Linked DNA regions of Ovis aries. The protein of the gene in region 2 interacts with the protein of the main gene of each other region in a biochemical or structural test. Links are inferred from orthologs where the notes say so. Each region holds a gene or a part of one and is shown on either strand. Other genes may lie near its edges.

Region 1 (4,244 bases), on a different chromosome or scaffold from region 2:
GCCCCCAGACAGATGGCCCCACAGACCAGAGCTCCTGGTCCAGTGATGCAGGGCCCAGGGCCACTGCCAAGTCCAGGGAGGCCTGGAGTCCGCAAGGCAGTGGAAGCCTGTGAGCATGGCTGCACACCAACCCCAACGCTTAGCACCTCTGGGTCAGCCCAGCACAGGCTCTGAGAGCCTCCCCAGCTTCACTGGGACACACAGCTATGACCTGCATGGGAAGAGTGGGATGGAGGTGCAGAACTCTCTATCCACTTGCCAAAGATGCTCATGGAGAGTGGGGCCTGGCCAGAGCAAGTGGCTATGGCCACACCTTAGACTTAGGAAGGCTTCCCTTCCTGGCCAGAGAGGCCAAGAACTGAGTAAGACTTTAGGAACAGAGGCCTCAGAAGGGTCAGGGACCTCACAGTCCCCAATCTGAGGCCACCCCTCTCATAAGGGGGCCACTTCCCCAGCCCAGCCAGGACCTGCCCCCCCTTTCTCCAACCTCCAGCTATAACCATTAGGTAGCCAACGTGAGACTCTAGCTCTCATTTATACTAAAGTGTGGGTGACTAATCAGACACTCCCAGAGAAAATTTATTCCACTGAGTAAATGATTCTACAGAATAAACAGAACCTGGAACTCTGTAGGTAGATCTCAGGAGAGGGAAGGAAGGAGGCAGATCCCCTTCAAGGGTCCCTGAGGGCAACAGGCCACCAACCACAGGTCTGGGGGTGGGGGAGGGGAATAAGATGAGCCACCCCTGCTCTGTCTGCCCAGGCCCACTGCACCTTCCAGAGTCACCCCAATCCCTCCCTCTGTCCCAGCCCAGCCTACCAGCTGGTCTTCTTCCCTCCCTCACATCCCAGTCATGCTCAGACAACCTGAAGAACTCCTACTCTTGCTCCAAGACCCAGATCTTGCCTGCCCACCCTGACCTCCTGGGCCAGGGCACCCATGGGTCTGAAAATCCTCTAGCAGGTACAGCCTCTGCTGAAAGTGCACCTGGAGCAGGGGTCTCTGCAGCTCAGCGGCTATTAGACACAGGAGGAGGGTCAGGTCCCTTAGGCTGCACCCCAGATCATGGTCCAAGGGCAGCAACCTGGGGGAGGTGGGCACTCAGTTTGTCACACACTTCCTTCAGTGTGTGAAAGAACATGTGTGATTTCAGTAATTTTTGTTAAAATGATAAACTAAGTTAAAAAACAAAAGCACCCTTCCACATACCTGATGCTCACAGCCAAAGCAGAGCAGGCTCAGAGAAGTGAGACTGTAGGCGATCAAGCAGCTGAGGCGGGTGGAGGGCAGCCAGTGGCCAGGACCAGGCTCCCCAGTCTGTGCCCTACCCTGTGAAGCCTGGCTTGGGGGCAGCTCCTAACCTGAGCCCAGCAGGGTTGGGGGCTGCCAAGGACCCATTCCCCGTTCTCTGCCTCTCCCTGGTGTTGAGGGTATGAGACAGTCTAATTGCCCCCATGTCCCTCAGGCCTCCCTGGGAGCCACAAAGTGGCCTCAGCTTAACCTGACCTGGGACTGCCCAGGGCCAGTGCAAACCACAGAATCCAGGAAATGGCCTCAATGTCAAAGTCCCAAGACGCAGCCACAGACAAGGACATGGGCATGGGCTGCCTAAGGGCGCCCAAGCACACCTGCTCAGCCCAGGCGGCCTCTGGGTGCCCCCCCAGCACTGCCGAGCGGGAGACTCAGGTTACCCGTGTTTGTGCTAGGTCAGGGCTCGAGCGTCCAGCCAGCTTCCAGTTCACCACTCACCGTTCCAGAGGCCCAGCCCGGCACAAGCAGGAAGTCCCCTCAGCCGGGACAGCCACCACTAAGGACAGACGTGGGAACTCTGACCCAGAGGCTGCCCGAGTTAGCAGCTGGCCTGCACTGCTCTCAGGAACCCAAGTGGCATGTAGTTCAGCAGGGACACAGGCCCTGTGGCCAGCAACCCTGAGGCTGGGGTGGGTGGAATAAAGCCCCATGTTGCCCAGTGACCCTTGGTCCCTGCCCTGTCCTGAGGACCCTGGAGAAGGGGGCCAGAAGAATGCTGTTTTAAACCTCCAGAAACTTCTGCAGACCCCTGCAGACAGATCTGCGCCCTTGTCCCAGATCACCTCATTTCCCTGGTGCTAACTAGGAGACCCACTGGGTGGCTGGCACCTGTCCCCACCCTAACCCCTTCCCCCCAACGCTTGGAAACTCCTCTGACCCCAAACATCATGAATCCCACCTGCCCTCCACGTAAGGGGGGCAGCGGACCCTGAGTCTGACAGGTGCCAAGATGGGATTTCGGAGGTCCGCTTCGACTACGGACCTCCACCGCAAGTCACACACACTCAGAACAGGGCCCAGGGTGAAAGGAGAAACCAGGACTGCGGTCCGCCCACCGTCCAATGCTCTCAGATCCCGGAGCAGGCAGTCAGGGGCCCAGGCGCCCCATGCTCGGAGCATAGACAGGTGAGACACACGCACCAGGGCGCGCAGACACCGCCCAGGTCACAGCCCCTGGATCCCCTGCCCTGCCTGGCCGGACAGGTGCCTACCGCGCGCACCCGCGCACAGGCCCTACGGCCCACTGACCCGAAGTCCTGGTCCATGGACTTGAAGAAGAATTTGTAGGCGTGCACGGGCCGGTTGCTGAGCACATTCTTGAAGTCGGCCAGCGTGACGCGCTCGGGCGCCACCGGCAGCTTGACCAGGTACGGCGTCTCCTCCTCGTCCATGTGATAGATGATCTTGGTCTCCGCCATGGCGCGGCGCTCAGGCTCGGCCCGGGTCTCGGACGCGGGCGCCTCCCCGCTGCCGGCCCGCGCCCCGCCCGCGCGCCGCTCCCGGCCCGGCCGCGACCAGGCCCCCGCGTCCCCGCCCGACCGCTCCGGCCCCGCCCGCCCTGCCGGCCTCAGCCCCGGCCCTGGCCCCGGTCCCAACTCCGCGCGCACCCCGGCTGCTGCCCCGCCGCCCGCGGCCGCCCATGCGCCCCGGGCCCGGGACGCAGGCAGGGAGGGCGCGAGGCCCGCCGCGTCCGTGCGCCCCGCCGCCGCCCCCTCGGGCCGCGCGTTAAAGGGACCCCGGATCCGGCTACGAGCGGCCGCTGGGGGCGCCCGAGAGCGGCGGGCCTGACGTCACCAGGCAGTCAGCGGCGTGGGGGCGGGGCTGCGCACGCGCGGGTGAGGGGCGGGGCGCGCTAGGGGCGGGGCCTCCTGCCTTGTCCAGGCCTGGAGCTCGGGGCGCGCGCTCCCGGCCTTCGCCACGCGCATTGGCGGGCAGTCCACAGGGTCAGGCTCCCGGCCAGTGGGCGGCCGGGGGCGCGCCCGGTGGGAAGAAGGCGGGTGAGGGCCCTCAGGAAGCTCCGAGCCCGGCCTGGAGCCCTCGGAGGGTTTCTGCGCTGCCGGGCTCCAGTCCTTCACCTCTTCAGAGTCCGGCGGCGCCTTGGTAACACCGACGGGCTGCAGTGGCTACGTGGGAAACAGAATTCTTGTGTCCGGACCGGAACCGATGACACTCTGTCACTTTGCCCCCCTACCCCCACCCCGCGTCAGCTCCGAGTTGGCGCGCCCTCTGCCAGGTCGCAAGGGGGCTACAAGAAACACGGGCCAAGCGTTATGCGGGTCCCCGTGTGGACGCGACAGTAGGGTCAGCGCAAGCAGCTATGCGCACGCAAGGGGCGGGGCACGGCCCTCCGGCAGCAGGTGTAGAGTGGTTTTTTTTTTTTTTTTCCCAGCCGCTGTCCATCAAACCTGCGTGGGGTCCTCCGTGGGGCAAGGGTCCAGCCACTGGGGAGAGAGGCTCTCCCTCTCCGACCCCAGGAGGAAAACTTGAGGCCACTAGAAGGAGGCCCACGCTAGCGAGAGTGAGATGGGAGAGGACCTAGGGTGGAGCCTGAGAGTGGTGCGGGTGCTGCCCCCCTTGAAGTTGGCTTGGATCCTGGACTCTTCATCTGCCAGGTCAGGACCATCCTCGCTCAGTGGACCAGCGCAAAAAAAGGCCACATTAGTCCATCACTGACTGGAGGAGCCAGTTCTTCCATAAGTCCCTGAGTCCAAGCCAGGGACCACCCTCAGGTGAGCCTCGGCAGGGTTGTTGACATCCATTTCCCTGGGCTCTGAGGGCTCTGTGAGGTTGGCCCACTCAACAAAGCCTGGGCCTTCTTCCCTTGGGTCTCAGCTTCCCCAGAGGTGATCTGAGGAAGCCAGGAAGGATGGCCTTGAAGGAAGGGTCACCATGGCTCTCTGCTGGGTGTTCAGGGAGGGAGGAAGACAGTCCC
Region 2 (3,965 bases):
GGCGAAGATTTGATCGAGAACAAAAGAACGCTTGCCAATCAGAAAACGCTACCCGAGAACAAGGATAACTTCTCTTTGTGTTTTGGAAACTCTTTAATTAGCAAATGCCTTTGGTTTCTAATATGCATTAAAACTTTTCTACGCAGATTCCAAGAATCAAATCATTGCTTCCGCGACGAAGGTGGGACTCCCAAGGGCCACACGCCACGGAACTAAAGAAAATAGGCAATTAAATACTCGCTGTAAACCTGTACAGTGTTCTGGGCACTCGGCCGCAGGTTTTTTTTACAATAATTTCCCGCACTAGTTTTCTTACGATTTCACTAAAGCTATACCAAATCCCTAGACTCTGGGCCGTGCGTGCGGGCAGGGTGGCCTGAAGCCTGAGTCCCCCGCGCCCGCCGCTCGTCGGCCCTGTCCCCTTGGAGGGGTCGACACTTCCTCCTGCCTTAAGCCGGCCCCCTCTGCCCGACTCCTATTTCTCTTCAGCCTGGGCCCCTCCTCCTTTTTACAACCCGGAGAGGGGGTGAGCGGGGATTGTGGCCTCACGTGGTCTAAGTCTGCCGAGAGAAAAGCAATCCGCGAGGCGCACCCATTTCTTGCCCCATTCCGAACCCCGCATTTAGGATCCTGTCACCTAAAAGCCCCCCTCCAAATCCAGCATTTTCAGCCCAAGGAGTGCTAAACACAACTCCGGGTCGCGTTTCTCTCCGGGGAGGTGCTATTCTTATTCTCAACCTCTCCATGCAAAAGCCTTGCCCGGTGCGCCCTTCTGTTCAGGAATCTGTATTTTAGTGTACCCGGAACACTAAGGAACAAATATTTCAAGCAAATTCCCTTTCTGGTGCGCTTCTCTACCCCCTCCCCCCAGTGAATTCAGGGTAAAAGTTTTTCTTAACTTTTCCCTCCCAGCCCCCTGCCCCTCCCCTCAGGAATCCGCCCAGAGCTCCGCAGACCTAGCCTCTCTCGTTCCCTTGCCCGCCCCTTCCGACTTCCACCCAATCCGAAGACAGTCACACAGAAAACAAAGGCTGCTATTGGGCCTCCCTGGAGCTCGAGGGCCCGCCCCCGGAGTGGTTTGTGAATGGGGGGAGGGGAGGGGGCGGGGCGGTCCGGAACCCTGAGAGCCCGACGCTTCTTCTGTAGAGTTGCGCGGCTCCGAGGCGTTACTCTGCGCTCCCTCCCGGCGGGCAGCGCTCCCTCACCGCTCAGAGTTGCGCGGGGCTGGAGAGGCCAGGCCCAGGCCGCGGGCACCAGGACCTCGCAGCCTCGGACGCAGTGTGACTGGATTTCTTAAAAGAACTCGCCGAGCTCTTGGCTCCAAGACGCCGATCGGACTCAGAGCGAGAATTAGCCGTTTGGCTGAAAGTTGGAGCCAAGCTTCTGGGGCTGAAGAAGGAGCAAGGAGCGGAGAAGGAGGCGAAGGAGGAGGCGGCGGCGAGCGGAGCCTCGAGGAGAGGAGGCGGAGCAGCACCGTTGAGGCGGCGGCTTTGGCTAGCAAGCGGGGGCGCCGGGGTCTCGCCTGCCGGGGCCAGACTTAGTGTGGGGGTGCGGCGCGCGCCCTATTGAGCTCAGTGAGTCGGGAGACTTGGGCAAACTTTGAAGGGTAACCGGAGACGCTTGTTGCTCCTCGCCGCAGAAAAAGCCGCACCGTTACGTCGCATCAAGAGGAGAAGGCGGCCCCCCATCTGCGCCCCCAGCCCAGCGAGACGAGTTTGGACCCCCGGCGGCTGCGCCAGTGCTGGGCGGAGGCGGCGGCGCCCCCGTGGCGGGAGCACCCCAGCTGCAGCGCCCTCTGTTCCGCGCCGCCCACGGCCCAGCCCCGGCGCCGGGAGGACTCTCATGCGCCCGGCGCAGCGGCGCCTCCCCCGATCCCAGCCTCTCCCGGCTGCCTGGTCGCGTTTCTCGGGCTGAGAGTGCCGCTGCACCCGCGGCCGGCGATGCGGGGCTCCTGCGCGGCGGTGTCGCGCTTGCCTCTGGACCTTTGCACCCTGGCGCTGGCGCTGCTGGGCGCACTGCCCGCGGGCGCCGGGGCGCAGCCGTACCACGGAGAGAAGGGCATCTCAGTGCCAGACCACGGCTTCTGCCAGCCCATCTCCATCCCTCTGTGCACGGACATCGCCTACAACCAGACCATCTTGCCCAACCTGCTGGGTCACACGAACCAAGAGGAGGCGGGCCTCGAGGTGCACCAGTTCTACCCGCTGGTGAAGGTGCAGTGTTCTCCCGAGCTGCGGTTCTTCCTCTGCTCCATGTACGCACCCGTGTGTACGGTGCTCGACAAGGCCATCCCTCCGTGCCGCTCTCTCTGCGAGCGTGCCCGCCAGGGCTGTGAAGCACTCATGAACAAGTTCGGCTTCCAATGGCCTGAACGGCTGCGTTGCGAGAACTTCCCCGTGCACGGCGCTGGCGAGATCTGCGTGGGCCAAAACACGTCGGACGGCTCCGGGGGCGCGGGCGGCGGCCCCACCGCCTACCCTACCGCACCCTACCTGCCCGACCTGCCCTTCACCGCGCTGCCTCCGGGGGCCGCCGACGGCCGGGGCCGCTCCGCTTTCCCCTTCTCGTGCCCCCGCCAGCTCAAGGTGCCCCCCTACCTGGGCTACCGCTTCCTTGGCGAGCGCGACTGCGGCGCCCCTTGCGAGCCGGGCCGCGCTAATGGCCTTATGTACTTTAAGGAGGAGGAGAGGCGCTTCGCCCGCCTCTGGGTGGGCGTGTGGTCTGTGCTGTGCTGCGCCTCGACTCTCTTCACCGTGCTCACCTACCTAGTGGACATGCGGCGGTTCAGCTACCCGGAGCGGCCCATCATCTTCCTGTCAGGCTGCTACTTCATGGTGGCCGTGGCGCACGTGGCCGGCTTCCTGCTGGAGGACCGCGCGGTGTGCGTGGAGCGCTTCTCCGACGACGGCTACCGCACGGTGGCGCAGGGCACCAAGAAGGAGGGCTGCACCATCCTCTTCATGGTGCTCTACTTCTTCGGCATGGCCAGTTCCATCTGGTGGGTCATCTTGTCGCTCACTTGGTTCCTGGCGGCCGGCATGAAGTGGGGCCACGAGGCCATCGAGGCCAACTCGCAGTACTTCCACCTGGCCGCCTGGGCGGTGCCCGCTGTCAAGACCATCACCATCCTGGCTATGGGCCAGGTGGACGGGGACCTGCTCAGCGGGGTGTGCTACGTGGGCCTGTCCAGCGTGGACGCGCTGCGGGGCTTCGTGCTGGCGCCCCTGTTCGTCTACCTCTTCATCGGCACGTCCTTCCTGCTGGCGGGCTTCGTGTCTCTCTTCCGCATCCGCACCATCATGAAGCACGACGGCACCAAGACTGAGAAGCTGGAGAAGCTGATGGTGCGCATCGGCGTCTTCAGCGTGCTCTACACGGTGCCGGCCACCATCGTTCTGGCCTGCTACTTCTATGAGCAGGCCTTCCGCGAACACTGGGAACGCACCTGGCTCCTGCAGACTTGCAAGAGCTACGCGGTGCCCTGCCCGCCAGGCCACTTCCCGCCCATGAGCCCCGACTTTACCGTCTTCATGATCAAGTACCTGATGACCATGATCGTCGGCATCACCACTGGCTTCTGGATCTGGTCGGGCAAGACCCTGCAGTCGTGGCGCCGCTTCTACCACAGACTCAGCCACAGCAGCAAGGGGGAGACTGCGGTATGAACCCCGGCCCCTCCCCCACCCTTCCTTCCCGCCGCCGGGGGTGGGAAAGGGGCGGTAGGGAAAGAACTGCGGGGTGGGGGGACTTGTTTCTGGAACCTCCTTCCGCTCCAGTGAGAAGTCACCTGGAAATGAGAAGATATATGTAGATATATGTGGGTTGGGAAAAGAGGCCTGGGTGGAAATACGGTTTGGATGAAAAGACTTCTGGCAAAGACTTGCAGGATGATGCTGGTGATGGTAACAGTGATGTTAATCATGTGCGGTACGGGCCGCCTTGGGCCTGTCGGAAAAGATTGAGAT

Evidence for each region. The genes of interacting proteins can lie anywhere in the genome.
Region 1: the proteins of FZD7 (region 2) and DVL1 form a complex in vitro, tested with the Homo sapiens proteins (2 studies listed by BioGRID and IntAct, with this or other methods). The link is inferred for Ovis aries from reciprocal best matches to the Homo sapiens genes FZD7 and DVL1.

The regions. Positions count from the first base shown.
Region 1 is NC_056065.1:50,499,219-50,503,462, reverse strand, and holds the start of DVL1 (segment polarity protein dishevelled homolog DVL-1), read right to left. Parts: upstream 2,801-4,244; 5' UTR 2,731-2,800; coding exon 2,561-2,730; intron 1-2,560. UniProt on the Homo sapiens protein: Participates in Wnt signaling by binding to the cytoplasmic C-terminus of frizzled family members and transducing the Wnt signal to down-stream effectors. Plays a role both in canonical and non-canonical Wnt signaling.
Region 2 is NC_056055.1:204,349,340-204,353,304, forward strand, and holds the start of FZD7 (frizzled-7), read left to right. Parts: upstream 1-1,165; 5' UTR 1,166-1,940; coding exon 1,941-3,665; 3' UTR 3,666-3,965. UniProt on the Homo sapiens protein: Receptor for Wnt proteins.